Linked DNA regions of Drosophila melanogaster. The protein of the gene in region 2 purifies or fractionates together with the protein of the main gene of each other region. This does not show direct contact. Each region holds a gene or a part of one and is shown on either strand. Other genes may lie near its edges.

What was found.
Region 1: the proteins of HP1b (region 2) and Ssrp purify together in Drosophila melanogaster (affinity purification with western blotting; 2 studies listed by BioGRID, with this or other methods). This does not show direct contact.
Region 3: the proteins of HP1b (region 2) and dre4 purify together in Drosophila melanogaster (affinity purification with western blotting; one study listed by BioGRID). This does not show direct contact.
Region 4: the proteins of HP1b (region 2) and row purify together in Drosophila melanogaster (affinity purification with western blotting; one study listed by BioGRID). This does not show direct contact.

The regions. Positions count from the first base shown.
Region 1 is NT_033778.4:23,804,076-23,810,616, reverse strand, and holds Ssrp (structure specific recognition protein), read left to right. Parts: upstream 1-1,612; 5' UTR 1,613-1,753; coding exon 1,754-1,807; intron 1,808-1,884; coding exon 1,885-3,456; intron 3,457-3,516; coding exon 3,517-4,062; 3' UTR 4,063-4,256; downstream 4,257-6,541. Other genes in the region: CG5543 (uncharacterized protein), read right to left, coding at 1-1,258; CG5539 (uncharacterized protein), read right to left, coding at 4,788-5,678; CG13561 (uncharacterized protein), read left to right, coding at 4,368-4,421, 4,482-4,637, 5,921-6,085, 6,147-6,302. UniProt on the Drosophila melanogaster protein: Component of the FACT complex, a general chromatin factor that acts to reorganize nucleosomes. The FACT complex is involved in multiple processes that require DNA as a template such as mRNA elongation, DNA replication and DNA repair.
Region 2 is NC_004354.4:9,078,641-9,084,244, forward strand, and holds HP1b (heterochromatin protein 1b), read left to right. Parts: upstream 1-2,613; 5' UTR 2,614-2,718; coding exon 2,719-3,441; 3' UTR 3,442-4,106; downstream 4,107-5,604. Other genes in the region: CG7246 (uncharacterized protein), read right to left, coding at 307-534, 606-1,790, 1,855-2,158, 2,216-2,307; APC4 (anaphase promoting complex subunit 4), read left to right, coding at 4,414-4,525, 4,601-4,843, 4,902-5,301, 5,359-5,535, 5,597-5,604.
Region 3 is NT_037436.4:1,869,796-1,878,502, reverse strand, and holds dre4 (dre4), read left to right. Parts: upstream 1-2,190; 5' UTR 2,191-2,324; coding exon 2,325-2,393; intron 2,394-2,587; coding exon 2,588-2,851; intron 2,852-2,916; coding exon 2,917-3,216; intron 3,217-3,284; coding exon 3,285-4,462; intron 4,463-4,519; coding exon 4,520-5,386; intron 5,387-5,440; coding exon 5,441-5,703; intron 5,704-5,767; coding exon 5,768-5,921; intron 5,922-6,032; coding exon 6,033-6,149; intron 6,150-6,585; coding exon 6,586-6,742; 3' UTR 6,743-6,929; downstream 6,930-8,707. Other genes in the region: CG13937 (uncharacterized protein), read left to right, coding at 1-147, 464-611, 676-742, 841-985, 1,057-1,212, 1,318-1,655, 1,722-1,815; CG13924 (uncharacterized protein), read right to left, coding at 6,939-8,356, 8,418-8,484. UniProt on the Drosophila melanogaster protein: Component of the FACT complex, a general chromatin factor that acts to reorganize nucleosomes. The FACT complex is involved in multiple processes that require DNA as a template such as mRNA elongation, DNA replication and DNA repair.
Region 4 is NT_033778.4:15,207,136-15,216,694, reverse strand, and holds the start of row (relative of woc), read left to right. Parts: upstream 1-3,060; 5' UTR 3,061-3,205; coding exon 3,206-4,088; intron 4,089-4,139; coding exon 4,140-4,969; intron 4,970-5,027; coding exon 5,028-5,118; coding exon of another isoform or gene 5,119-5,123; exon of another isoform or gene 5,124-5,450; intron 5,451-5,626; coding exon 5,627-6,450; intron 6,451-6,515; coding exon 6,516-6,883; intron 6,884-6,908; coding exon of another isoform or gene 6,909-8,702; intron 8,703-8,895; coding exon 8,896-9,559. Other genes in the region: CG11808 (uncharacterized protein), read right to left, coding at 1-395; CG8093 (uncharacterized protein), read left to right, coding at 1,095-1,187, 1,260-2,363; Ir51b (ionotropic receptor 51b), read right to left, coding at 6,909-8,702.

The DNA.
Region 1 (6,541 bases), on a different chromosome or scaffold from region 2:
TTGTCCAGGTATGCAGCGGCTGTTTGAACTGCCGCAGATCCCAAAGCTTCATGGTCTCGTCGTTGCTGCGAGTGGCCAACTGCTGACCCATGTACGAGAACACAATGGAGGTGATCTCCGAACCCTTCTGATGCGCATCCCTGACGCAGTGCGTGGTGTTCACAAACATCTTGCGCGTGTCCCACGTCTGAATGGAACCATCCACGCAGCCCGCTGCTATGAGTGTGGCGTCCCTGTTAAAGTTGCATGATGCTGCGTTGGTGCGGAGGCCTCCCTGCGCCCTTGTCTTGATCACCTGCAACTGTTCCTTGGACTTCAATCCCTGCCAGATGCGCAGAGTACCGTCGAGAGCTGCGGTCAGGAACTGCTCCCTGTTAAATGGATGCCAGCAGCCGGAGGTCAACTGTGCCACGTGGCCCTTGGTGCGCGACATGTCCGAGATATACTGGTCGCCCTTGCAGCACTCCAGTTTCTCGAATCCATCGCGGTCGAGGACCTTGGCCTGGGCGTTTCCGGAGATGACCAGGATCATGTCGCCGGTCACGGAGTACTGGAGAGAACGTATGGGATGGTTCTCGCACGGCTGCAGTTGCCGGAAGCTACGCATGCTCGAGTCCATGCCGGCGAAATCCCAGAAGCACATATCGTAGTCTATGGAACCAGAGACCAAGCGGGCACCCGAGGGATCGCCAGCCAGGGCAAGGACAGCGCGGGAACCGTGCTGCATCTGCACCTCGTGTGTGTAGGGTATGCGCTTAGCAAGGCTTTGTTCGTCATCTGAATCTTCATCGGACGAATAATCATCGTCATCGGAGTCTTCGTCTTTGGACGATTCCTTCGTGGCTTTCTCCTTGTCTGTGGTCACAGCTGGTGGTAGGGGACCTATTACGTCCTCCTCTTCCTCGTCTTTCTGGTCATCCTCCTTCGGCTTGGACTCCTCCCTTTTTTTGTCCATTCCCGGGCGGGTAACTCTCGCCTTTTCTATCTGCTCGTTGATGTCGAACACCTTGGCCGCCTTGCGACCAAAGCCACTGATGCCCATCACTTCCTTGAGGTGCTGGCTCTCCAGATCTTCGGCCACGTCCTCGATCTGCCGAATCATCTGCTCCTTGTCCATTTTCTTGAATCCTCCGCCATTTCCGCTGGCTTCAGTGGACTCCTTTGCATCTTCCGCCTCGGTTTCGTTGGATCTTGGCTCCGCAGGAGGTACGTTTACATTCAGTTTGATTTTCCCGAAGGAAATTTTACCGCGTTGCATAGTTTTAAGGCCCCACGCTAAGTGGATTTTCAAATTTTTAATTAAAACTATATTTCTCTGAAAATATGCGGTAAATATTTTGTAAACAAGTGAATTAAGTGACCGTTTATATTCGGACTGTCAATTTGGTATTTTAAAAGATCGAGCGAATTGTTATGGTCTTTAAATAAGCTCTGGCTTGCCCATTAAAATTTTTCAATTTAATAATGACTCATATATTGTTCATGTATTGCAAACAAGATATATATAAACAATAAAGGAAACTGCATTGGAATATTAAGAGTTTATATCGATTGCAATTTAAGAATAGTGCACTCAAAAATACTAAACACACATACGGTCACTCTAATATAGCTGACTGGCGTCTAACCTAAAATTAGGCGCGCAGTGTTGTTTTGTGTCTGCCGGAATTATTGTAAATTGGTGACAATTTCGCAAGGCGGCGTAATACATAGTTGATCTATTATCTTGTTACTGGAGAGGAAGAAGTGCAGGATGACAGACTCTCTGGAGTACAACGACATAAACGCCGAAGTGCGCGGAGTCTTGGTGAGTCGCAAAAAAGCCGGCGTATTTTGTCACATTTCGCATGACCGAGGTTTTCCATTTCCCTGCGCGCAAAAAAGTGTTCCGGACGCCTAAAGATGACCGAGCAGAACATCATCTTCAAGAACACCAAGACCGGCAAGGTGGAGCAGATCTCGGCAGAGGACATAGACCTGATCAATTCGCAGAAGTTCGTGGGCACCTGGGGACTGAGGGTGTTCACCAAAGGCGGCGTGCTCCACCGCTTCACCGGATTCCGCGACAGCGAGCACGAGAAGCTGGGCAAGTTTATCAAGGCTGCCTACTCGCAGGAGATGGTCGAGAAGGAGATGTGCGTCAAGGGCTGGAACTGGGGCACCGCCCGCTTCATGGGCTCCGTCCTGAGCTTCGACAAGGAGTCGAAGACCATCTTCGAGGTGCCGCTGTCGCACGTTTCGCAGTGCGTGACCGGCAAGAACGAGGTCACCCTGGAGTTCCACCAAAACGACGATGCGCCCGTGGGTCTACTGGAGATGCGGTTCCACATACCCGCCGTGGAGTCGGCCGAGGAGGATCCGGTAGACAAGTTCCACCAGAACGTAATGAGCAAGGCCTCGGTCATCTCGGCTTCGGGCGAGTCCATCGCCATTTTCAGAGAGATCCAGATCCTCACGCCTCGCGGTCGCTATGACATCAAGATCTTCTCGACCTTCTTCCAGCTGCACGGCAAGACGTTCGACTACAAGATTCCCATGGACTCGGTGCTGCGGCTCTTCATGCTGCCCCACAAAGACAGTCGACAGATGTTCTTTGTGCTCTCCTTGGATCCGCCCATCAAGCAGGGACAAACGCGTTACCACTACCTGGTCCTGCTGTTTGCTCCCGATGAGGAGACCACCATTGAGCTGCCATTCTCGGAAGCCGAGTTGCGAGACAAGTACGAGGGCAAGCTGGAGAAAGAGATCTCCGGGCCGGTGTACGAGGTGATGGGCAAAGTGATGAAGGTGCTGATCGGTCGAAAAATTACCGGACCCGGTAACTTTATCGGACACTCTGGCACGGCTGCAGTGGGCTGCTCGTTCAAGGCTGCAGCTGGATATCTGTATCCCCTGGAGCGAGGATTCATCTATATCCACAAGCCACCGCTGCATATCCGCTTTGAGGAGATTAGTTCTGTGAACTTTGCCCGCAGCGGCGGATCCACGCGATCTTTCGACTTCGAAGTGACGCTCAAGAACGGAACTGTTCACATCTTCTCCTCCATCGAGAAGGAGGAGTATGCCAAGCTCTTCGACTACATCACACAGAAGAAGTTGCATGTCAGCAACATGGGCAAGGACAAGAGCGGCTACAAGGACGTGGACTTTGGTGATTCGGACAACGAGAACGAACCAGATGCCTATCTGGCTCGCCTCAAGGCTGAGGCGAGGGAAAAGGAGGAGGACGACGACGATGGCGACTCGGATGAAGAGTCCACGGATGAGGACTTCAAGCCCAACGAGAACGAGTCCGATGTGGCCGAGGAGTATGACAGCAACGTGGAGAGTGATTCGGACGATGACAGCGATGCTAGTGGCGGCGGAGGCGACAGCGACGGCGCCAAGAAAAAGAAGGAGAAGAAGTCCGAGAAGAAAGAGAAAAAGGAGAAAAAACACAAGGAGAAGGAGAGAACAGTGAGTAATGTTTGCTTATTATTATAGCTTATGGTAACATGTTTTTATATGTTTTTATAGAAGAAACCCTCCAAGAAGAAGAAGGACTCTGGCAAACCCAAGCGCGCCACCACCGCTTTCATGCTCTGGCTGAACGACACGCGCGAGAGCATCAAGAGGGAAAATCCGGGCATAAAGGTTACCGAGATCGCCAAGAAGGGCGGCGAGATGTGGAAGGAGCTGAAGGACAAGTCCAAGTGGGAGGATGCGGCGGCCAAGGACAAGCAGCGCTACCACGACGAGATGCGCAACTACAAGCCTGAAGCGGGCGGTGACAGCGACAACGAGAAGGGTGGAAAGTCCTCCAAGAAGCGCAAGACGGAGCCTTCTCCATCCAAGAAGGCGAATACCTCGGGCAGCGGCTTCAAGAGCAAGGAGTACATTTCGGACGACGACTCCACCAGCTCCGACGACGAGAAGGACAACGAGCCTGCCAAGAAGAAGAGCAAGCCCCCATCCGACGGCGATGCCAAGAAGAAAAAGGCCAAGAGCGAGAGCGAACCGGAGGAGAGCGAGGAGGACAGCAATGCCAGCGATGAGGATGAGGAAGATGAGGCCAGTGATTAGGGCCATAAACACAACAAATCAATTCCATAAACACACACCACGCTCCTCACACACCCATGTCCCAAATCTAGTTTACATTCGCCTAGTTTAGTTAAGTGCTGCCTGTTGGATACAGACCCATACGTTTTTGTTTAATTAAAACTCAACAACAATTCGAAAGTTCAAGTAATTAAACAGAATTGATAATTGCCCGTAATGATTGATATCTATCGATTATGGTTTCGCTTGACTGGCTTTTGCCACTTTCGTCAACATTATAATGCCACAGTTTGCCAGTTTTTAATGGCTCTTTGGTGAACTTAGTGATGGCCACGTTGACAGAGTTATTCCTCTTGTTTGGGCTGTGGCACATTTTGCAGGCAAGTTCGACCGTAAGCTAGGCCGGCTGGGATTATGAACCGAACACTAGCTCACTTCAGGTCCAAGGAGTTGCCAAGTTCACAAACATCGAGTGCCTGAGTGCGGACGAAAACTTCACCACCGTTTCCCTGTGCCGATTGTACGCCGTAAAGAGGGATGTCGTCGAAATGAGTCTGCGGGCCAACATCCTGCGATGGCCAAAAGGTCCGGTATCGGTGAGTTAGTTTGCAAAGCTAGGGCGTTCCTGAATGCCATAGTTGAATAGCTATCTATAGTAGAAAATGCGAGTCCAAAACACTAGTAATTAAACAACTTGAAACCTATCCATGCCTAAAACCAATTTATGTTTTGAATTAATGAAATAACTATAAACCTGTTTGAGGTTTCACAAATGATTGTGCTAAAAGACGGCGACGGCTGGCCGGTTGACGCTGCTGACGCACTTCCTGGCCGCTGGTCTCCATCGCCGTCTTGGCCAGCAGATCCTCCACATCGTCATGGAGGTCCTCCAGCTTGGTGGCGGAGGCAATAGCAATGGCATTCTTGAACTTGCGCTGAGGTCGGCGATTAATTATCCTGGGTGATTCCGACGACACGTCGCTCTGGAACTGCTCCGCCTGCAGGTGCGTGGTGGCCTTCGAAACGCCCACCAGAAGCTCCTCAGAGTCGTCACGGAGGTGCTCTAAGCTGCCAACGGGACTGGAACCACTGGACAGATTTTGGACAGAGACGTTGGCCGAGTCAGTATCCTCGGAAGTTCTGCCTCCAATTCCTTCTCCAGTGGAGTCCTGCAACAGATCGGAAGTCCTAAGGGGAGCAGTGCTCGATCTCGACCAGAAGCTGGACACGAAAGGCAGTACAGAGATTTGGGTCTGTGCCACCAGCTGTGTCATCGAAGCGAGGGCGTCGATCAGGAGCTTCTCCTTGCCCCGGTGCAGGAAGTGATCGATCTCCTCCTGCCGCTTTGCCAGCACCGGACGCAGGATGGCGTCGAATATCCAGACATTGGCGGCCGGAGCGGACAGCACGATCCACACGACCAGGAGCAACTTGGTGGGCATGTAGAGCGGCAGCCAGGAGAGGAAGACGTCCGCCAGCACCTCGAAGGTGACCAGGAAGGCGTAAACTATCCAGTATTTGGCCCAGGCCAGGAACTCCTCGTCTCCGCTGTTCAGAGTCTTATAGGTTTGCCAGGCCGGTCCCATGGTGCCGTAAACGAAGAACAGGAACTGCGAAACAAGGCCAAAGAAACACATATCTAAAATATACGGTGGATACTAGGACTGCCAGAATAAGTGTTCTTCTTTTGGAAAATTCCGAATTTAATGCATGGGCTATAATCGAAATTGGCAGTTTAAGATCGATGTGCCTGTGTATCTAACTGTTTGTTTAAAAGTGTGGCGATATTCTACAGCCAGTTGTGTGTAAAGTGTAAAGCACAGCCTGCTGGCGTATAGCACCAACACCTTAGTGTAATACCAATATGTTTCTCCTTCAGATGCGCATGCAGCTGCTGAAGAAGGCCAGTGGCTATAAGCCCTTTCTCTACAATATCTGCCAGTCGGATGTGTGCGAGTATCTGGAGAAGCGGAATCATCCCTTCATTAACATCATCCTGAGCAGTTTCGGGAACAGAACCAATGTGAACAAGTGTCCGATTCCAGTGAGTTTGCCTAAGAAATGATTGATTATGATGTTTACTTCAGTTCTTCTATCGATTACAGCCGGAAATAGTGTTGGAGCACTTTCGGTTTCCCGTCAAGGTTCTGGACATGATGCCCCTGCCCTTCGGGGACTACGGACTCTTCACCACCTTCACTTTCCACCGATCGGAGTTGGCCCAGGTTAAGGTGTACTTCACATTAACAGAGTATCGCTAAAGGCACACAAATCACGAGTCGCATCGAGTATTTGTTATAAACATCAGACGCGGTGCAATAAACCAATTAATAAATTTGCCATAAATTTGTTAACTGCCCGTAAAAGAGCTCTCCGATTTGATTATCCCTTTGTAATTGCAATAAACGGATTTTAATTAAAATTATTAATGCGTGCATTTCATTTGAGTGTAATATGTAAATGGTTCTGACACGTGGGAACGCGAACCGATTTCACTGAA
Region 2 (5,604 bases):
ATGAGCACATCCGTCGACGGAAGAGGTTAAAGGATATTCTCGTATAGCATTACTCATAATTTAACCGCTTTTGAAAAGGACATTTCAACAATAGGATGGTTAAATGAGAACTTTTCCATATGACTGTACTTTGAATTCACACACCTGCATATTGCCAAAGTAAAAATCAGATTTCATAAATTATCTTATAAGCTGTATATTCACAAGTCCTTATTTTAGAATCGAATCACTATAGACAGTCCGAAAGATCGACTTAGAAATTAAGTTAATGAAAAAAACAGAAGCACAAATAAACTATTTAGCCAACTATATCGATGCGCCCACATAGGCCAGTGCCCGTTCCGCCTCAAACGCGGCGACATATTGAGGCTCTAGGGTGCTGAGAGCCCGCTGGGTGAGCAGGGAGATGTTCTTCGCCTCGCCGTGATCTCGCTCGAAGGCGAGATACTCCACCCAAACGCGCGGCTGTGTCTTGCCGAAATAGCAGGCCATAAAGTCGTAGCACATGCGCCAGTATTTCAGGCTGGCCTGGTCCTGCAACAGATAAAGTAAATTAGTTGCGCCTCGCAATTATATGCCAAAGTAGCAAAGATAACAAAACATACACAAGCTGCCGCACTGGACTCCAGCTGAACCATTTGGCGGTGCAGCGCCAACGACATGGGCGGTAGAATGGCCAGCTTGGCGTACTCCTTGCGTGCTTCCTCGACAGACCGCTCCTGCCACAGATAGCGCAAATAATCGGAGCGCAGCTCACCAAATTCCGGCCACGCAGCCTTGCAGGCGAGACCGTAGATCTCATCCAGCCGGCGTGCGCCCAAGCTATCCTGCCGAGTGCGATAATACAGAATGACACTGCGCCACAGCGGCAACGCCTCACTGCCCATGCTCTTCTGGATCTTGTTGAATAGCTCATAGATCAAGGGCTCACTGTCGCTTTGAATGTGCGTGGCCAGAAGAAGCTCGTGCATCTCCACCGATGAATCGTTTTTCAGGGCTTCCGTGAGTATGGTGACAGCTGCCTCCCTTCCACTCGGAGCAGTGCAGAGCATCTTTCTTAATGTGGCATAGTGTTTCACGCCCATCAACTGAGAGCGATGGCCCGCCTGCAAGGCATCCGCTAGGCACTGTTGCTTTAGTATACGCTCCGTCTTTCCATCGCTATTGAGTGCCAGCATGGCATCCAAATACATATTCCACATTTCTGTCGTTTGCAGCTCCTCCACCGCCGATTTGTATACAGTAACGCAGAGTTGAATGCGTCGCTTGAGAGAGCGGCCATTTACGGAACGAGATTTCTTGCTGGCCGGCTCTTCGTCACTGGTATCCAAGTCCTCCTCCTCCAGGTCGCCCAGATGAAAGCCGCGCAACTCTCGCTGGGCAAGCAAATCCCACAGGCCCGGCTCCCGGGGGAACTTCTCTTGCATATCATCGATTATCATTCGCTGCAGCTTGCCCGTCAGCTCCTGATGATCCTCACAGCTTTCTAGAAGCTTAACAAAGTAGTCCAATTGGGTAATATTGGCCATGCTGTTGCGGTAGACCGCCTCCACGCGTTCCAATTTGATGTCCTGTTCCGAGAGCGTATTCTCGGCTAAATTGCGTTCGTTGCTGGCCAGGGCAGCCTCTTTCAGCATAATGTCAAAGAAGCACTTGTTAAGTGCCTCGGAATCCGGATGTCTCTGCAAGCCACGCAGCAGGATGTCCTTGACTCGATCGATGTTGAGCCGATTGAACTCGTACAGCCATAAGGCGGCGTCCACCCAAAGATCCGGCGAGTCGCCATGGTACTGCAAAAGAATAACAACAATGGATAAGTAATCAATGGAAGTGAGCAGGCTGGCAAATACTAACCAGCAGCATCTTCTCGTATATGCCCGCCACCTCGACAGGATTTGACTTCCTGCTGAACTTGATCCAGTTGCTCCACAGCCGTCTGTCGTGGTTAAACTTAGCCAAGGCCTCTCTGTACAGGCGCATGATCCGCGTGGCTATGGAGGCCTTTAGACCGGTGAGTTTAACGTGCATCTTCTTTTCCTTGTCCACGATGGTCATGTGCATGTGCTTCTCGTACAGTATGAAGTCCAGGTAGTCGGTGATGCTCTGGTGGCTCTTGTTGATCTTAAGGAACAAGCGTTCCCGCCTGCTAACGATTTCTCTGCAAGAATATGGATGAAATGGGGGCACAGACTCCAAATTCGTTTGGATTTCTCACCTGACCTGATCCGCTGTGAATACGCTGTAGTTCTTCATCTGCTCGTATTCCGGCAGCAGGCGCTCCTGCATCTCAGCTATGAACTCGGCCATATTTGCTTAGTTTTCTCCTTAATCGTACTTAGTAATATTGTTTATTTCTTTAAAAACTAGCGCACGTGCAACGCAACGGCCGTTTATCGATTGTCCAATTTCTGGAGAGTTATCGCTGACAGGGATGGTAGAAAGGGTAATTTAAAAAAAATATATATATATGTCAAAATTTAAAAATGGTCAAGAGATAATGATAAAATTACAATTGTAAAGTTTTTAAAGTTTCAGCTTTTTAATTAAAATGCGTTTACTGGCCAAGAGAGCGATAGTTGCCGATGGCGAGACCATGGAGTTGCCATCTTGATTTCTTCTTCTTCTTCAATCTCTTTAATCGCACGTATAAATAAGTTTTGGACGCCAAGAAAATAACAAAATTCGCAGTTGGAATAACACAATTAGCGTAAAAGCACAATGGCCGAATTCTCAGTGGAACGCGTCGAGGACAAGCGAACGGTGAACGGACGAACGGAATACTATCTAAAGTGGAAGGGCTATCCGCGCAGCGAAAACACCTGGGAGCCGGTGGAGAATCTCGACTGTCCAGACCTGATAGCCAACTTCGAGGAGTCGCTGAAGAACAACAAGAAGGAGACAAAGAAACGCCTGTCCACCTCCTCCACACCCGAATCCATACGCAGCAAGCGCAAGAGCTTCCTGGAGGACGATACCGAGGAGCAGAAGAAGCTGATCGGCTTTGAGCGCGGTCTGGAGGCATCAAAAATACTGGGCGCCACCGACTCATCCGGGCACCTAATGTTCCTCATGAAGTGGAAGGGCAGCGATCACGCCGACCTTGTGCCCGCCAAGCTGGCCAACACTCGATGCCCCCAGGTGGTCATACAGTTCTATGAGGAGCGCCTCACCTGGCACACGGGCAGCGGCAATGGTAATGGGAATACGAATTCCGTCAATTTGGGATCATCCGGTGGCCTGGGCTCCGTCGGCGGCAGTGGGGCCGGCGATGATACTGCTCCCGGCAGCGTTGGCACCACCGGTGGCGGCAGCAATATAGATGGCGGTGACGAGGAGGATCCCGAACCGGCCAGCCCCATTGGCAGCATCAATCAAGACGAGAATATCAAGCCGGACGAGAGTAGTGAGCTGGACAACGGACAGCCGGATGCGGATGACTAGTTGAGTGGCAGATACAGATGACTGTTTCGGATTCACTCGCTTATGTGGATACATACACACCGGCTTTATACGATATATGTACATACATATTTCGTAGCGTAGCCCTTAAGATAAAAAAATTGGACAAACTGAAGTTCTGGCGTCAGTCAGCGGTAGTATATACATATACATATATACATATACATATATATACATACTTAATCTATAAGTTCAATTGTAAAATTGTTTTTAACATCTACCTTTATTTTTGACCCACATAAATGTTTTATAAGCATATAACATCACAGTGTTAAATACAATTGGCCTAAACTACGCTTAACCTGATCAATGAGGAACGACTCAGACTGAAGGACCACCTTTCTATCTTAACAACTATCCAGCTTTCTAACACTTTAAGTTAAAAAAAAACACATTGAAATTGCCAATATTTTTGTGTGGAAATCAAAAGACGCCAATTGTGCTGCCCACCTAGCGCCTTTATAGCCAGAATTTGAGATTTTTTCCTAACAGGCAGTTATTAAGATCGATTAATTTAGATTTTCCCGATTTTTTCATTGTTTCGCAAATCATTATGTGTTCCAAACAAAAGCTTTTAAAACTATGTAGGTTTGTAAGACTAAAGTAAAGTACGAATAAAACAAAATTGTGCTGGCAGATAATTTGCCATGCCGTGCATAAGTACAAATATCTAAGAAGTTTCAATCATAAATACACATTCTTTCTCGCTGTCCCGAAGTTTTAATACAAATATTTTGTTTAAACATTTGACAAAAATCAAATAAAATGTCAAAAATGACTGAAGAATTGGAGAAACCAATTTGTAATAGCTACTATTTCCGCTCATCTCTGATCGATAGCAGGAATATTATTCGATAGACTGCAACAGGAGCCGGCAAAGTGTAAACTAAAATTATTATATTGAAATATTTGATGCACAGTAGAGACGCCGCGAGCCAATTCTAGCGTGGAAAGATGGCACAAACGAGCTCCATGAAGTTGCTGGGCGCCCGCAACATGTCCTGCATTGTGGAGCGTATGGAGTGGAACAACAAGATGGATCTAATTGCCTACGGAACGGAAAAGGGTGAGCGTCTGCCTCCGAAATTGCCAAGAATCACCAAATAAACTGCCAGTGGGCTTATCCCAATCATGTGGATAGGTGAGGTGGTCATCCAGCGTCTGAACTGGCAAAAGATTGTCACCTTTCCCACGCCCGGCGAGGATGTGCGGGTGCGTTCGCTCAGCTGGCAAATGGACGAGACACTCCTGGCGGTTGGCTACAGCAACGGCAAGGTGGCGCTCCTGGACGCCGAGAGCGGAACGATAATATCAGGCCTCATTTACGAGGACGACATCAAGAAGGTCTACTTCAGCAAGGCCATCAACTCGCAGGAGAACCTAGGTAAACCAGCGATACGAAATAAGCTACAGGGATTTGATTGTGTTATAAACGATTCTAGGAACTTACACATGTAATGTCAAGGATAAACACCGAAGGTTCCTGCCCAAACTGCAGCCAATGACCAATATTGATCCGTGCCTGAAAACCCTGGACCAAAAGTCCTTTCCAAAGGGATCACCTTGCTTTCTGGTGGTGATAATGCGCAGCGGCAAAGTGCACCTACTGCTCCTAGGAGCCCTGCAGGCGGGCAGCATCGATCTCACACAGCACATTCTGCATCCGCACGAGTTCGATGTGTACGATGTGAGGATGAACGGAGACTGTAATGCCATTTATGCTCTTTTGCGGGACGGTCAGGAGCTGATATTGCTGCACTTTCAAAACCAGGTGCTGCAGGATTGCATGGCACCCATGCTGGAGCTGGCAACGCATTGTGCCCACATCCTAGAAACCAAAAAGTAATACATTTATTTGCCAATAAGTTATGTTACTAACCATCGTTTGGCGCTATTTAGCTATATTAATGACACGCAACAATGTTTGACGGAGGCCTGGGAGACCGTGCAGTTGGAAATGGACAATAAGCTAACCAGGTACGCCAATTCCCAGCCGTACGGAGTGATATCTGCCCATTTTCTGGAGCTGCACGTCTTTGGATTCGCTACCTTCGAGGTAGAGGAGTTTTTGTTCGAGTGAGTGGCTAATGTATTGGTCGATCCTCATGCTCATCATATCGACATGTTCATTTCGCAGGACTCTTT
Region 3 (8,707 bases), on a different chromosome or scaffold from region 2:
GAGCAGCAGCAGCAGCCGCAGCAACATGGCCAGTTTCCGTATCCGGTGGTCCGGTATCCGGTGCTGCTGCTGAACAAGAACAAGAACAAGGACCTGACCGTCGTGGCAACGGGCAAGACCAAGAACAAGTGGCGCTATGTTGATAAAGTAAATATGTAACCCGCACAAACACCATACACCATACACCATGTAACAAAAACATACACAAGCACATACGCAACAAAACTGCCACACACACCCAACACCACACACAACAAACACTTCAAGTCACAGGCTCGTATAATTAATGATGTAAACAGAGCGGCTAAATAAAATTCAGATAGCCAAATTGATTGCGCATTAGCGAGTCGCATTGGCAGGCATTTGGGCACCCCACCCCCCATTCTCTAGCCCCATTCCGGTCGAGAAACCCATGTACTGGACTCACTGTGGCTCACCTTTCGCATATTTGCCCTCCAAACAGGACAGCAACCAGACACTCCTGCCCCTCATCCCCGAGCATGCCGTGCAGACACTCACGCCGCAGGAAATGCTCCAGGTGGAGCAGCGGATGGACCAGCGCAGGGAGCGGCTAAAGGACAAGTGCTCCGCCTACGGCCTGGATGTCCTGGGTGGGTCCTTCGCTTTGGATTCGCCAAATGGATTGGGGTCTGATCGCTTGTGTTTTATTTACAGGTCACGACGCGTGGCACACGCCGAACACGTGGGAATTTTTGGTCAACAAAAAGTATCACATTATCTGGTGGGTGTGCCCTTTATTCACTCTTCAACGATTCCATTTTAGTGTGTCATTCGGATTTGACAAATAGGATCTTAACTTACTATTTATTTTCCGTGCAGGTGCAATGTCTTTAAGGCTGCCTCATCGTCCTGGATGTTCAACTTCAACGTCCTGGCCGGTTACTCGCCCAGCTATCTGCGCAAAACCAAGAAGATCCTTCTCAACCTGGCCAGGGAGCGCTATCCCAGGGTGACCCTCGACGAGGTGCGTCTCGAAAGGAGTTCTTAATCCCCTTCCTCAAACCTAAATTAAACTCTTTCTATTTCGGGCGACAGCTGCGTGAGGCACAGAACTACTCGGTGACCTTTATCATCGCACGCGATCCCTTCGAGCGGCTGTTGAGTGCCTATCGGGACAAGATGGTGTTCGCCCTGCCCTACTCCTTCCACGATAAGTTGGGACGCAGCATTGTGCGCAACTACCGCAAGAAGGTAAGCATTTCGACTGTAACCCACTGCGTATACACGATATTGTTGCAATAGCAATATCAAGTATACGCATCGAATGCATCTAATACATTGTATTTTATCCAATAGCCGTCACTGGCTGCCCGTGCGGCCAACACAAAGTTCCCATCGTTTCCGGAATTCGTGCACTGGCTGCTCGACCAGGTGAAGCGCGGCAGCTTCATCGACATGCACTTCGTGGCGGCCACCTCGTTCTGCACACCCTGCCTCATCCGGTTCGACATGATACTGAAGTTCGAATCGCTGGCGGAGGATCAATTATATCTAATCGAAAAGACTGGCCTCAAGCGGGTGATAGCGCCCGTGTGGCGCAACATGGGCAAGGGCCGCAAGACGCACGAGCTCCAGCAGCAGTTCTATGCGCAGCTGACACGCCAGGAAATGCTGGAGCTCTACGAGTATTACAAGTGGGTCATCCATTTAAATTTTTAGATTATGGTAGCATACTTACAAGTTAAAATTCCTCCCCACAGATACGACTTCGAGCTGTTCGACTACGATATCCAGGAGTATCTGCAGGTTGCCCGGCCGGATGAGGCCGAAAGTCCGGCGGGCACAAAGAATTAAACTAGCTCTGAATTCTTAGACTTTGCTAAAAACCAATGAATCAAGTTCAACGAACTCACATATTAGCCGTCACAGTACGTAATTGCAAATGTTGATAATACTGAAGAAAACAATAATAAAATTAGCTATATTTAAACGAAGCCTGTGCCAAAGTCTTTTATTTAATGTAAAAATGTATTTTTGGCGAGACACATTTTTAATTAAATCCAGTTTTAAACATTTTTTTCAGTGCACCAATTTTTAGCGCGTAAAATGTTCATATATGGTTCGAGTCCCTGCTAGACGTGTCTGTACTGTTGCTTGGTTACACTATTTTTACATTGACAACTGGTATATTACGGTATTTTTGAGAGCGGTCTCACTCACGTCGAGCTGACGCTTATTCTGCTTCTTCTTCATCTGGTCGCCGCGCAATTTTTTTATCCGGCGGAATTTGCAAATGCAATTTCTGGCGTTTAGCGCATTTTAAGCGGAGTTAACGCATACACAGTAACAAATCCGGCGGCAATATGTCGAGCTTTGTGCTGGACAAGGAGGCGTTCGTGCGCCGCGTGAAACGCCTCTACACGGAATGGAGGGTGAGTCTGTCCGCCGGTCGGCGATCTGCGTGTTTTTGGGGCCGCAGGAGCACCGGGGAGCACGTGGAGACTCTGCAGACGGGTCACGATAATGAAAGATTGGGAGATGTGGTGAAATTAATTACCCATAGACCAGGTTGTTTGGGGAAAAGAGGATTACTGCATAATAATATCGGACTCTTTGTCTTTCGCAGGCTCCCAGCATCGGACACGATGACGCGCTCAGGAATCTGGACTGCATCATGAGCATCGTGGGCGTCGAAGAGGATGTCATGTACTCCAAGTCCATGGCCCTGCAGCTCTGGCTGCTGGGCTACGAGCTGACGGACACCATCTCAGTGTTTTGCTCGGATGCCGTGTATTTTCTCACTAGCAAAAAGAAAATAGAATTCCTGAAGCAGACGCAGAACATCACCGAAGAAGGTTTTCCGGAAATCAATCTGCTTGTTAGGGATCGGGTGAGTTTCGATTTCTGCTCCAGGCCAAAAGTTCTCTAATCCTTTCTGATCTTGACTTCGAGAAGACGGACAAGGACCAGGGCAACTTCGAGAAGCTCATCAAAGCCCTGCAAAACTCGAAGAAGGGCAAGCGTTTGGGCGTCTTCGCCAAGGACGCCTATCCCGGGGAGTTCAGCGAAGCATGGAAGAAATCCCTGACGGCGTCCAAGTTCGAGCATGTGGACATTAGCACTATTATCGCCTACCTCATGTGTCCCAAGGATGAGTCGGAGATCAACAACATACGCAAGGCATCGCTAGTGTCAATGGACATTTTCAACAAGTATTTGAAAGATGAGATCATGGACATTATTGATTCGGATAGGGTGAGCACCTGGCGGCTATAATATTATGTGTTTTCCTAATATATTAACCTTTTTAACCTCCTTTTTAGAAAGTCAAACACAACAAGCTCTCAGATGGCTGCGAGGCTGCCATTGGCGAGAAGAAGTACACCAGTGGTCTGGATCCCAGACTCCTCGATATGGCCTACCCACCCATCATCCAATCGGGAGGAGCCTACAGCCTGAAGTTCTCCGCGGTGGCGGACAAAAATCCCTTGCACTTCGGTGTGATTGTGTGCTCCTTGGGCGCCCGCTACAAGTCGTATTGCTCAAATATATCGCGCACCTTTCTGGTGAATCCCACCGAGGCCATGCAGGAGAACTACACATTTCTGGTAAGTGTGCAGGAGGAGATTCTCAAGCTGCTGGTTCCGGGCACAAAGCTGTGCGACGTCTACGAAAAGACCCTGGACTTCGTGAAGAAGGAGAAGCCGAGTATGGTGGACAATCTGCCCAAAAGCTTTGGTTTCGCCATGGGCCTAGAGTTCCGGGAGAACTCCATTGTCATCGGACCCAAATGCCAGGCGCTACTCAAGAAGAATATGGTCTTTAATTTGCACGTGGGCATCTCGAATCTGACCAATCCCGAAGCCACCGACAAAGAGGGCAAGAACTACGCCCTCTTCATCGGAGACACTGTGCTAGTAGGCGAACAATCCCCAGCCAGTGTGATGACTCCGTCCAAGAAGAAGATCAAGAACGTCGGCATCTTTATCAAGGACGACAGCGACGAGGAAGATGTGGACGACAAGAAGACCGCTAAAGAAGATCAGGGCACCGAGATCCTGGGCCGCAGCAAGCGCAACGCGGTGCTGGAGTCAAAGCTGCGAAACGAGATCAACACGGAGGAGAAGCGCAAGGAGCACCAGCGCGAGCTGGCTCAGCAGCTGAACGAGCGCGCCAAGGATCGGCTGGCCAGGCAGGGAAACTCGAAGGAGGTCGAGAAAGTGCGCAAGAACACCGTCTCCTACAAGTCCATCAGCCAAATGCCGCGCGAGCCGGAAGTCAAGGAGCTCAAGCTTTACGTGGATAAGAAGTACGAGACCGTCATCATGCCAGTGTTCGGCATCCAGGTGCCGTTCCATATATCCACCATCAAGAACATCTCGCAGTCGGTGGAGGGCGAGTACACGTACTTGCGTATCAACTTCTTTCATCCCGGCGCCACAATGGGTCGCAACGAAGGCGGACTCTATCCTCAGCCAGAGGCCACATTTGTCAAGGAAGTGTAAGTATAGTGCGAAATCTGCTTAAGGAATGCACTAACTAGACACTTTTCCTGCAGTACATACCGCAGCTCTAATGTTAAGGAACACGGGGAGGTGGGAGCTCCATCCGCAAATCTAAACAATGCTTTCCGGCTGATCAAGGAGGTGCAGAAGCGCTTCAAGACCCGCGAGGCTGAGGAGCGCGAAAAGGAGGATCTTGTGAAGCAAGACACACTCATTCTGTCCCAGAACAAGGGTAATCCCAAGCTGAAGGACCTATACATTCGGCCCAACATCGTGACCAAGCGCATGACGGGCAGCCTGGAAGCGCACAGCAATGGATTCCGCTACATCTCCGTGCGCGGCGACAAGGTGGACATCTTGTACAACAACATCAAAAGCGCGTTTTTCCAGCCCTGCGATGGCGAGATGATCATTCTTCTGCATTTCCACCTGAAGTACGCCATTATGTTTGGCAAAAAGAAGCACGTGGATGTACAGTTCTACACGGAAGTGGGAGAGATCACCACGGATCTGGGCAAGCACCAGCACATGCACGACCGCGACGACTTGGCTGCTGAGCAGGCAGAACGTGAGCTGCGGCACAAGCTCAAGACTGCCTTCAAGAGCTTCTGCGAGAAGGTGGAAACCATGACCAAGTCGGTAGTGGAGTTCGACACGCCGTTCCGTGAGTTGGGATTCCCTGGAGCACCCTTCCGCAGCACGGTGACGCTGCAACCCACCTCGGGCTCCCTGGTCAATCTGACGGAATGGCCACCATTTGTCATCACGCTGGACGATGTGGAGTTGGTGCACTTCGAGCGCGTTCAGTTCCACTTGCGCAACTTCGATATGATATTTGTGTTCAAGGAGTACAATAAGAAGGTTGCCATGGTGAACGCCATTCCTATGAACATGCTGGATCACGTGAAGGAGTGGCTCAAGTAAGTTCATCTGCCCATTTGCAAAATGCACTTTTACTAATGAGTATCCTGTAGCTCCTGCGACATCCGCTATTCGGAGGGTGTTCAATCCCTGAACTGGCAAAAGATCATGAAGACCATCACCGACGATCCTGAGGGATTCTTTGAACAAGGCGGCTGGACATTCTTGGACCCGGAATCGGGCAGCGAAGGCGAAAACGAAACCGCCGAATCCGAAGAGGACGAGGCCTACAATCCCACCGACGCCGAATCGGATGAGGAGTCGGACGAAGATTCCGAGTACTCAGAGGCATCAGAAGACAGCGAGGAAAGCGATGGTATGCACAAACCCAAAACATTCCATATCTTCTAGTTGGTTAATATTTTCATCATAATTTACAGAGGACCTTGGCTCTGATGAGGAATCTGGCAAGGATTGGTCCGATCTGGAGCGCGAGGCTGCTGAGGAAGACCGCAACCACGATTATGCCGCAGATGACAAACCACGCAACGGCAAATTCGATTCGAAGAAGCACGGCAAGAGTTCAAAGCACAGGTATGAGCCACGATCCCATCATGGACGGGTTTCCATTAAGGGTTACCTTATCCGAGATCTCCTTTCTCTTATCTATATCAATCGTTCTACAACATTTTACGTCCACCACAGTCGCCGCGACCGCGAGGAGGCTCGATCGTCGTCGCACAGTAAAAAGCACAAGTCGAACTCCTCCTCGTCCTCTTCGCATTTAAAGTCCTCCAGCTCCAAACATGGCAGCTCATCTAGGTTTGTTATCGAAAGCCCCGAACACTTAATACCCAACCATACGGCCTAACGCAAGTGCATTTCACATATCATTTTTCACTCACAAACCATTACACACTGGAAGTTTCGTTATAAATTTGATTTTCTTCTTTGGTGGAACAAAAAACCAAGCAATTGGACGTTTTTAAGAGTTATTTTTTGTTGATATTATTTATTTCTGGTGTTGGCTTGGCAAGTTTTGGATAGGGATACCCCAAATTCCATCCGTTTACAACCACTTTCTGTTTGGGTTTATGTTGAATTATTTATGATTGTTCAGTCTGGCAAAATTGATAAAAAGAAAGAAAAAAAAAGAACAGCATCATAACTCGCTTGCTCAAAATTGATAACCACAGAGGAGTAATTATTTGTGAAATTTCTTTTAACACATTTCCAAATTCCCTTGATTATTTTAAAGCCCGTCGAAGTCGTCGAAGGACAAGTACAACAGCCGGGACAAGCATCATTCCTCCTCATCGTCCGGAAACAAGAGCAGCAGCAAGGACAAGGATCGCAAGCGCTCGCGGGATGACAGTCGCGACAATGGGCACAAGTCGAAGAAGTCGCGACATTAGGGAGCTGTTCCTGTCGCCAAGCCTGTGTGGCACTCCGTTCGTAATCTAGCTCTCCTGTTACCATTGTCTATCTGTTAAAGGACCCGCCACCCCAATCCCCCGTCACTCATTTTTGTCACGCTTCAAAAGTTGTATTACAAATTAAATATAATACGATACATTAATATAATAAACTAATGTAAGAACTACATTACTCCTACTTGTTCCAGCTGCCGAGCAGATGCCGATAGGCGTGCACCTCCACTTCCCCGCTGTCGCGCCGCCGCCTTCGCCGTCCGCCGCGCTGCTCCTGCTCCTGGTGCAGATGCGGATGAGCTTGGGGATGCTGGCGCGGACTTCCGGCGGCGGCCACACTACCCCGCCTTTTGTGCGCATCGAACATGTTGCGGGTCTTGTTGATCGGATAGCGCATCTTGTTCTTCAGCCAGGTGGTGAAGGCGCGCTCGTTGTCCTGCATCTTCTTCAGCTCCTGCTCGTTGCGATTGATGGTCTGCTCCATGGAGAAGCGCTGCTTCCGCCGCAGTTGCTGGTCGCGCCGCTGCAGTTGCTGGGCAGTCAGTCCGTACTCGGACATGTAGCCCGTGTACCTGGGTAGCTTGCCCTGAATCGAATGCCGGTGCTCGCAGCAGATCTTGTAGTTCATCCGCACCGAAGGAGACGTCGTGGAAGCGGAGGCAGAGGATAGAGTGGGCGTGGGCTTGGGCCGACGGCGAAAGCTAAAACTGCGCGAAGTGAAGAAGGTCTTGGAAGTCGCCTTGGGACATGTGGTGCACGAATCCCTGACTTCATCGGGCTCCTCCTTCTTGTAGTAAATGCTCTGCTCGTTGAGCTCAAAATCATCTGGAATATAGCTGGCCACAATGATGGACAGATCATCCTCCTCTTCGGCTTCAACTGCAGCCACCACAGGCGCTGGCGCCGGCAAAGGCACTTCAGTTTCGGCTCCCGTCAACCTGTCAATGGTTTCTTGCTGTTTCGGATCCAAGGTCTTGTAAAGATTCTTGTAGGCATCCCTTAGCTTCTGGCGAGCCTCATTTAAGGTGCGTTCCTCCTCTTCGCAATCAGATTCGGTTAGCAGATTGGTTAGACTCTTCTGGTCGGAGTCATCCTGGTCGAAAGTGCCCTGTCTCAGTTGAAGGGAGCCCGGAACAGAAGAGTCCTTCGCCGGAGGATCGTCATCCAGGTCCGCCTCATCCACGCCGGAGAAGTCGTCTTCATCCTCAATGGGAGTGGCTTCCTGGACCACTGGCTGTTGGGGCACCTCACTCAAGTCCACGATTTCCTCGCATATCTCCTCCTCCACTTCATCATCTACTTGGGGTTCTTCCATCGGAGGAGGCGTTTCTACCACCTTGGTCTCGTCTGCAGCCGCTGGTTCTTCCTCTGCAATGGGCTTCAGCTTCAGCTGCGTCAACTGCTGCAGCAGCTCATCGGGCGGACTGGGACTGAGATCCTTCTGCTGCTCCGTGGGCTCGTAATCCTCCAGATTCAGGGCAAACTTCACCTTCGTCACCTTGCCGTTGCCATTGGAGGCCTCGTCGTCCAGCGCAAAGAGCTCCTTGTTGGCCTCCTTGATCCTGTCCACAATGTTGTACTCGTTGACCGGCTTCAGGACTGCGGAATAATCCATGAGTAAGGACATGCTGCTGCTACCAGCCTACGGGGAACGACTTACAATAGACCTCGCAGTCCTCGTCCGACTCCGGCTCGCGTTCGCCCATCTCTGCCAGCTGCGGGCACATCGATTGCCTTCAAGTGCCGGGATATTTTTAGAACTTTAGCTTTTCGCACTGCGATTTACGACCATTCACCAGCTGGAAACTTCGCCAAAACTTTCCATTTCGTGTCGCGTAGCTTTTCCGCACCCATCCAAGACTAATGAACTTGGATGTGCACTCCAGACATTAGCGGCACCACTCCGCTCCCTTGCGGTTATGGCCCGCCATCCAGGTCTCAATGGCGCCC
Region 4 (9,559 bases), on a different chromosome or scaffold from region 2:
GTGTCGAACAGATCGATGGCCTTCACGGGAGCAGCTGCGGGTGTGGTTGCGGATCGGGAATTGCTTTCCGAACTTGGACCCCTGGTTTTCCTCTGCGAAATAGACCGCGATTTGTGATGATCCCTGGTTCTGCTTTTGCTGTGCGTGCTGCGGGAACTACTCCTGCTGCTGGAGGAGCTGCGCGAGGTGCTGCGACTGCTACTGCGACTCCTTCTCGAGTACTTTTTCGACTTCTTGGCCTTTTTCTTCTTCGGTTTTGAAACCTGCCGGCTGCTCCTGCTGGGCGACTTTGATCTGTGTCGTCTGTCGCGGTCTCGCTCTCTGTCTCTTTCTCGGTCCCGATCTCTATCCCTCTCTCTGTCGCGATCTCTGTCACGGCGGTCGCGATCCCTCATAATGTGTCCTTTATCGGCAGTTAATTATTTATTTAGTTTTTTATTTATGTTATATTTCTTGTGTGCCGGACGTCGCTCATTCCCAAAATACAAAATCGCCTGTCAAGAAAACGCAACATTTTTACGAATATTCCAGCTGGCCACACTGATTGTGTCAACATGTTTACCGCCTATCGATTTTTGGACTTATCGACCGATTTTAATTTAAACTAATAGGCGCGAATTTTAATTATAGTAATCACTTTAAAATATTTAACTTAGAACTATGTGTAATATTAAATCAATTAATTCTTTTTAACATATTCATTTAATATACTACATTTATTGAGTTTTGTCCTTACCGGCTTAGCATGTCAGTTTACAGACTGATGTGGGGTCTTTTAATGTCCAGTTTGCCGTACGCCCAAAGCAGGAAATACTAATTGCTGATTAACTCTTAGCAATTATACCTAATCAGCAGTTATCAAGATTATAGGAGACCTTATCGCTGATGACCACTAGCCATTCGTTAAATCAACTGGGATCGAAATTCCCACACGATCTATCAGTCTTGGCGAATCAAACCATTTTGCAGGCAAAAATAAACAGTCATAAATTAGGCAGCCAAATCTAGGAATCCTTATCAAGTTCCTGGGGGGCATATAAAAGGCACGGGCGGCCAAGTCAGCGGTCAAAGCACCTGCACCTGTGGAATACAAAATGTTGGTGGTTCAGCTAATTGCGGTTTTTTTAAGTCTGGGCTTGGCTAATGCCCTGCCTGCGGATACGGGGCGCGCCAGTTCGGTGACAACTGTAAGTTTTAGGATGCCATGTTCTTTGGCACCCAAAAGTCCTTACTAACCACTATATTGCTCTACTTTCCAGGTCACCATTGTTAGGGGACACGGTTACGAAATCGAGGAGCACGAGGTGCAGACCTCGGATGGTTACATCCTCACAATGCACCGCATACCGTACTCGAAGAACACTGGGTACGATGGGCCACGCCCTGTTGTCTTCCTTATGCACGGTCTGTTGTGTTCCTCCTCGGATTGGGTTCTTGCTGGACCTCACAGTGGGCTGGCATACCTGCTGTCCGAAGCGGGCTACGATGTGTGGATGGGTAATGCCAGAGGCAACACCTACTCCAAAAGACACGCCAGCAAGTCGCCGCTGCTGCAGCCCTTCTGGAATTTTGAGTGGCACGATATCGGAATCTATGATCTGCCCGCTATGATGGATTACGTCCTTTACTGGACAAATGTGACTCAACTTACGTATGTGGGTCACTCTCAAGGAACCACATCCTTTTTTGTGCTCAACTCTATGATTCCGCGCTTCAAGAGTCGCATTCGATCTGCTCATTTGCTCGCTCCTGTGGCCTGGATGGAGCATATGGAGAGTCCTTTGGCCACGGTCGGTGGACCACTGCTTGGTCAGCCCAATGCCTTCGTCGAGCTCTTCGGCAGCGCCGAATTTTTGCCAAATACACAGCTAATGAACCTGTTCGGGGCTCTCCTCTGCAGCGATGAGGCCATTTCACAGTTCATGTGCACCAACACCCTATTCCTGCTGGGCGGCTGGAACTCGCCATATATCAACGAGACCCTGCTCCCAGATATTATGGCCACCACTCCGGCGGGATGCTCAGTAAATCAGATCTTCCACTACCTGCAGGAGTACAATTCCGGATACTTCCGGCAATTCGACTACGGATCTACGCGCAACAAGAAGGAGTACAGCAGCAAGACCCCGCCGGAGTACGATGTGGAGGGCATCGATGTGCCCACCTATCTCTATTACTCTGACAACGACTACTTTGCTAGTCTGATTGACGTGGATCGCCTTAGGTATACCATGAACCCGAGCGCCCTGAAAAGCGCATATCGCATGCCGGAAGAAAAGTGGAATCATATCGACTTTCTGTGGGGACTGAATATTAAAGAAATTCTTTATGATCGGGTAATTAACGACATAAATAATGCATAAATGTGCGCTGGAAATAAAAAAAAGCGACATACGTTTTTGTGACATTGTGATAAAAAAAGTTCCATTGGTCACCACTTCAACGGGGGCTTTTGGTAGCTAATGAACCGATAATATACGAGTGGTCATAAATTCAAATTGATTTGGTGACACTTCACGGTGACTGAACAACGCAAAACGAACTAGCCTGCTAACATTTTTTGCCTTATAAGTGCACCTGCTAAATACAATGGATTATATTAAGTGTAATATAATAAAATATAAGCTGTACTAGATATTTTTATTTTATTTGCTGATTGTGTACTGTTGAGAAATATTTTGCACTCTTAGTTTGAATTGCGCGCCAACTTTCAGGGATGAAGCATCTTGTAAAATCATCGATAGACTTTCAGCGTTTTTTGTGGTAGTCGATAGTCCGCAACATACTGATCATAGTAAAAAATATCTGTAATGTATATTTAGGTGGGAAAATATATTCATGGCATTTATTTATACGTTAAATCAATTCTTGTTATGATATTCCTTAATTGTAAAAAAATTTTATTCTTGTTCTTATTAGCAGAATATAAAATTGACCAGTTTACGTTAACACTTTTTTTTAAATACAAAAATTTGATTTATATTTGTTTATATTTTAACGAACCGATGTGTGGTGCACCACTGTGCGTGTGTCACGACAATACCCAAGCCGATATTATCGATGTTTTCATCGATGTTATTTACTCGAGCAGGTACATCCACGCAAGGAAAGCTAATTCGAGCGAAAAAAAATTTACTTAGCTCTTAATATTTTTAAAAACAACGCCCTCGCTGGGCCAGTGGTCGGTTAACTAGTTAGCTGTAAGATGACGCGCGTAACGAGAAGTGAAATCTCCCTGGACATGGAGTTCTGGGTGGAGGAGCTGTCGCCGGCACAATTGGCGTACTACGAGAAGATTACTAACGAGCACAACGCGGTGAAGGGTGCACTAAAGAACGCGGTTAGCGCCAACGAGGGCAAGGAGCTGTTTAACGGCCAGGTGTTCCAGGCCTACTCCTTTAAGGGCAAAGTGCTGCAGGAGCTCAAGGAGGCTACGCTGCCCAAAAAACCACCCAAGCCGACGGACTCTCCCTCAACACCCGCCGCCCAAAGCGGTGGCACAGGGCGGGGTCGTGGCCGCCCACCACGACAACCATCCAACATCGCCTACCTGGAGTCCTCCGATGAGGGAGACGACGATATGCCGCTGGCCAAGCGACTGGCGCTGTCTGCAGGCAAAAAAGCAGTGGCCGTGGCCAATGCATCTTCCTCGTTCACCCCGAAATCCAGTAAGAAGGCTGCATCCGCTGCTAGTGGAGGATCTTCTTCACCGGTACCTAAGAGCAGTGGAAAACTATTTAAGGAATCCAAACCGGACATCGAATCGCCGCCGAAGAACTACCGCCCCGCCGAGGTTAATTCGGTGGGCGGTCTGGTGGTGGGCAGCACCGACGAAAGCAAGGATAGCAAAGACGGCAAGGATGGCAAGGATAACAAGATGCAAGGAAAGACATATCCATCTCTGGTGGTGCTAGCAAAGCCTTTTCTCAAGATCAAAGACATGGCTGCCACCCGCAGCAAGCTGGACTCGAAGGTTAAGCTGGTGCTCATGCTTACGCCCAATAAATTCTGCGAGTGGCTGCTCCAGGAGGGATTGCTACGCGCTCAACAGCATTGCATAAACCATCGCAACAACGAGCTCAAATTGGGTAAGAGATATATGATCAACTGAATTCGTTTATTAATGTATTTATATTTAGGAATTTATTCGGATGTGACCAAGTTTCCCTACACTGGTGGCTATGTGTGGATCAGCGAATGTTGCCCCTACCGCTTCGTCTCCGTGTTCAACAATTCCATTTTCGAAGGAGCTCAGCACCCACCCACATTCCTGTTGAAGTTAATTTACCACTGGGCTTGCCAGACCAGTATTCAAAATGTGGTGCAGTGGGTTAAGGTGGACAGTGTTTATATCAAAGGAATCTACACCTGGCTTAGAGCCATTTGCACTTTGGCAGTGCATCAAAAATGCAAGAAGCTGGGCGGTCCCGGCAAGTTTGTGGAGGTGGGTGTTATTTCCCTAGGAACCACATCCCAAGATGGCTCCCAGCGACAAGTGAAAGTTGAGGTTCTGGGCGTCTATGATTATGCGGAGAAGTCCATCCGACTGCGGGCTGTAGAGCCAATCACCGATGGTGATCGTAACTACAAAAAGCGATTCCAGGCCATTCTTGAGCCACTGTCGCGCTGGGTGCACAAGGACAGCACCATTTGTATAGACTTGACTGTCGACAAGATCACCCTCTTCAGCATGGGATTCAAAAATATTGTCCAAGCAGCTGCCACTGACAACACAGCCAAGCACAACAACTCAGCGGTAATGGAATATTTGCGACGGATTGTGCCGCGCATGTTCCAGAACACCCTATCGTTGCTATCTCGCCAGATGATTCAACAATTCCTCGACGAGTTGGTATGGCGAGAGTCCTTTGGTACATATGCCTTGCAGGCATTCAACAATATCATAATACACATTGCCGAGCAGACAAGAGTAACCACCAATGAGACAATCACTCAGCGTCTGTATCAGGTAAGCAGAATCGAAAAATTTTTATTAGCGATTAGCCTTTAATAGCTCTTTCGTTTAGGTGGCAACCAATCCGTTCAAGGACTGGAGTATTTTGCCGGCCAACTACAAGGAGACACCTGCCAATGCTGCTCCCAAGCGCCTCAAGAAACGTTAGTACTATCGTACTTTTGTAGCAAGTTTTTATTTAGGCCGTGAATAGAATAGTGCGTTATGATAATCTGTTAAGTGCCTGCGTTTCTCACTCCAAACTGAAATGTTTTCGTTTTGTTTGATTAGTTTTGGTTAATCGAACCCAACAGCTGAGCTCAGGTCCACTTATTGTGTTATGTGAATTGTGAATTTATATAATCTATATAGGTGAAATGTATCATTGATATATTCACATATGTACAATTTAAGCATTACTTCCTGACATTTCTCGTGTCTAATTATTTTAAAACAACCCCATTAGAGAAACCATAAATAAACTTGCAAGAAATTTAATAACTGTTTTTATTTGATTTCCTTTTTCATTTGGAGTGATAAAACGCAAGAAAGAATTTACTAATTAAATTGATTGGACCCATTCCACCAGATTCAACAAAAATGGACAAATATGTAATGTTTAAGTTTGTATGTTGAGATTACATCTTTTTAAGTTAACATCTTCAATTGCAGCTATCAACGATGCTGACTACGTTGTTTCTAACAAGATTCCCAAGAAGGAAAAGGATCGTGATATAGCATCATCTGGAGTCAAGCGCGGCCGTCCACCGAATGCATTAGGCACCCCACCACCTCAATTGCCAATTAAAAAGGGTCCAGGTCGGCCGCCGGGCAGTACCAACCAGACAAAAGGAGACAGAGCAACGACCTCGTCATCTAAATCACTGTCTAAATCTCTGATAGCTAAAGGCCTTGGTAAAAAACCGAAAGAAAAAGATGAAAAGATTCCAATGGTCATTAAGAAAGAAGAGGATGATCTAAGGGGCTTGGAGGAGCTGTACTATGGAATAAGTGATGGTACGGACGAGTACCACGAGATCTTTCCATATAGCACACCCCGTACGGTTCACAACGAACTGGCCAAGACCGTGGAGTGTCCAATCTGCCTGAACGGCGACTCCTTCGATTCCAATGAGAAACTCCAAACGCATTTAGTATCGCATATTTCGCCAGAGGGTAAGCAGCACCAGTTCCAGTGCCTTTTTTGCTTGGAGAAGCATCCCACCGAGTCGGTTTTGGCCAAACACAACCAGATCATGCATCCAACTGAGACAAAAACGGAGGGTTCACCCTCGTACTACTGCCTAATATGCCAGCAGCGTCACAATTCCCTGCATCTGTTGACGGCTCATTTGCAGAAGGTCCACAGCACCCTGGAACTACCATATTGGTGTCACTCCTGCGGCTATCGATCATCTTCGCACCGCGATTTGGTCAGGCATTTTTATGACGACCACAAGCATCAAAACTTTTTACAGTGCCCCTATTGCTTGGATGTAAGTAGCTGTCATGGTAAAGTAATCTTGTAAAGTTCTCTCTATTAAAAACTGATTCTTTTTAGATTTTCTACTTCTCAAAGCTTGGCGTCGTTAACCAGCTGCGCATAGAACATTACTTCATGCATTTGGACGAGCACATCAACAAGCGTGATCCCTCGCTGCGCTGCCAGAAATGCTCGCTATCCTTCCTCGAGAAGGGGGATCTAAAGCAGCACGCAGTGCAGCATCATGTGAGCATGACTAAGACCAATAGACCGGTGCGTCTCTTACTCAACAACTCGATGTTGATACCACCGCCAAAGATTCGCACCCATCACCGCGAGCAGCCGCCGTTCTCCACCTACAAGCGGCCAGTATTCTTTGCTTTTCTGGAGGGTAAGACCTGTGCCGAGTGCAACACCGATTTCGCCAGCGAGGAGACACATTACACGTAAGTTCAAAAATATTTTATTTACCTAAGCAATAAATCGCCATGGATAAAGGTGCCAGTATTCACAAGAGAAAACCAGAGCTGACAGTATCCAACCAATTCCCAAGACACACCAGCCCAGTCTCAAAGTATCCACATCGATACTTTGATAGCCCAGGACGTTATCTACAAACCTAACGTATCCAGCACGCATGGCATCGTTAAAGTCGGAAACTACCCAGTGATTCAGCAGTCCAGTATCCTGAATCTTCAATATGAAATGGTTAAGGGATGTCTCCAAGTGGCTGTCAACGCGCATTGGATAGCCAATATGTGGAGATCCCAAGCAAGCAGATGAAAAGCGAAAAATCGGCTTAAAGGCATATTGCTGTTGCATGGCAAAAAACTGCCAACGTTCTTCTGTAAAAGGGTACGCGAAGCTGCGATTAAAACTCAGCAAAGCGGACACCTGTTCACTGGCATTTACAGGCACCAAAAGCCGAGATACTTTTTCCACTAATCGAGGTTCAACATGGCGCAGAAATGTGTTAATTTCATACTCCTTGACGAGCACCCTTTGCTGCTGGTGGACAAGCTGATCCATGCTATTTACTTGCTCGCCCACTACTATGGTTGTGAAGAAGCTGTCCAACTCAATGTTGTACCAACTTGTGGACATGAATCCCAGGACTGAAAGTTGTAGGAAAATAATCAAATGGCGCCATGTTGGTCTGTAAATTGTTATAGGGGGGCTGATAAAAAGTATCTTGCTTATCGCATCTAGAAAATTCAATCCCAAGCGTTGCGGCCAAGAACTTTTATTGAGTTTCGGGCTTATGCAATAGAGAATTCCAGTGATGTAGAAAACTGCGAATAACAGAATATACCAGCTGTACAATTGGAATGGTCGCAATAGGTACATGTGCCTTGGAATCTCATTTCTCATGGGCACAATCAAGCAGTTTGGATATATTAGTAAGGGGTAACTCTTGGTTGCTGTTGGGGGTGTGAAAACGTACGGGTGCAAAGAGATTTCCAATTGACCGTCTATAATCAACTGCACAATGTGGTTCATATTCACACTAGTTGTTGGGTCTAGATTCTCATCTGGATTGGTCAAACGCAGCGAGGCATTATAGTGATCCAAATATTCCACGAATGTGCGATATGCGTATCCCAGCACCTTTCTGCTCTTCGTTAATGGATCGTGCACATGAAACACTCTCGGAATATCATTTTCCGCCGGAGTGGATACTACATATCCATGGAAATTCCTTGCTGCATGTGGAAATAGCGGTTCCGTATGAATATCGAGTTTGAAAAAACGCATCGCCGGATACGGAGTGTAGGAATAAAGCTGATCCCTTTGCAGGACAAGAACGTTGAGGAATTGATATTGCCATAAGGCGTTGAATATTGATTTAATAGCACCTTGCGAGCCACTTCTTTGATTACGCAGAATGATGATCAATCGAATGCGACGGAGTTTTCGTAGATTTCTATCCAGAGTAAGCCACATGATATCATGTTTATCATGACAAAAGAACAAAGCTATGCCATTGTATCTAGTGATTTTAAAATGACCAAGGGGTCTTATATGTTCAGGTTGGAGAAATAAATTCATTGTCAAGCTAGTAACTCCCATTGTTTGATGGAGCCAAATAATCAAGTCGTTGAGGTCGCCTCCTTGCGTATTATGTCCGACGAATATTGGTGTATTTATCCACGGCTCCCGTGTAGAGATGAGACTTAGAACGGATTTCAACAATGTCACATTGTAAGCAGCGTTTGTTAGCGCCAGTAATAAAATAACGACCAATAAGGTTAACACTTTGCACATGGTGGTTGATTCAATTGTGACAAGCCAGAACCGCGGGTTGAGGTTTATAAGTCAGCAGCTAATTGATTTAATAGTGGCTGATTGATCTCTTGGGGAAAACTCATTAGAATGTGTGAGGCAATAATTTGTAATAAAAGGTTTTGGCGCTCTACGCACTCATTTAATCACTTTTTTATATTAAATCTTTTCCCAGTGGTTGGCTACACTGCGTTAAGTGCAATTATCAGACATGTTGCGAGCGAGCGCAATTCCGTCATGGCGTGGAATGTAATGGAAACTTTGTGGACGCCATGGAAGTGAATATGCCACAGGAGATGCACTGCATCTGCGGCTTTGCCACCGGCAACGGCAACAAGATGGCTCAGCACTTGGCAAATTGTGGACTTAGCACCTGCTACCCAAGTTTGGAGGCTGCCAGTGAGAATGCCGTCAAGCGTAATATGCTGGACATGTTGGGCCTGGTTCGACGCGATGGAGAAACCTCTGGTGAAGGTGCAGATATTAGCGAGACTGCTGATGATGTCGCGGATCAGAGCTCCGACATGTTGCCGCCGCAGGAGGACCATCATTTGCAGCAACACCATCAACAGGTGGGACATCAGCAACAGATGCAGGGACAGCCGAATGAACCGCAAGCGGAACTTCAACAGGAATACTTGTCGGCGCCAGTTGAGCATGAGCCCGTGCAGAATATGCCAGTACATCAGAGCATGCCGGTGCAGCAGACCGGTCCAATACAATTTGGAGAAATGGAGGCGGCCCCAGTTTTGCTGGATACCCAGCAGCAGGTACAACCCACCCCGGATTATGCTCAAGTTTCGGTGGTGCAACAGCACCAACAGCAACAGCCCTACGGA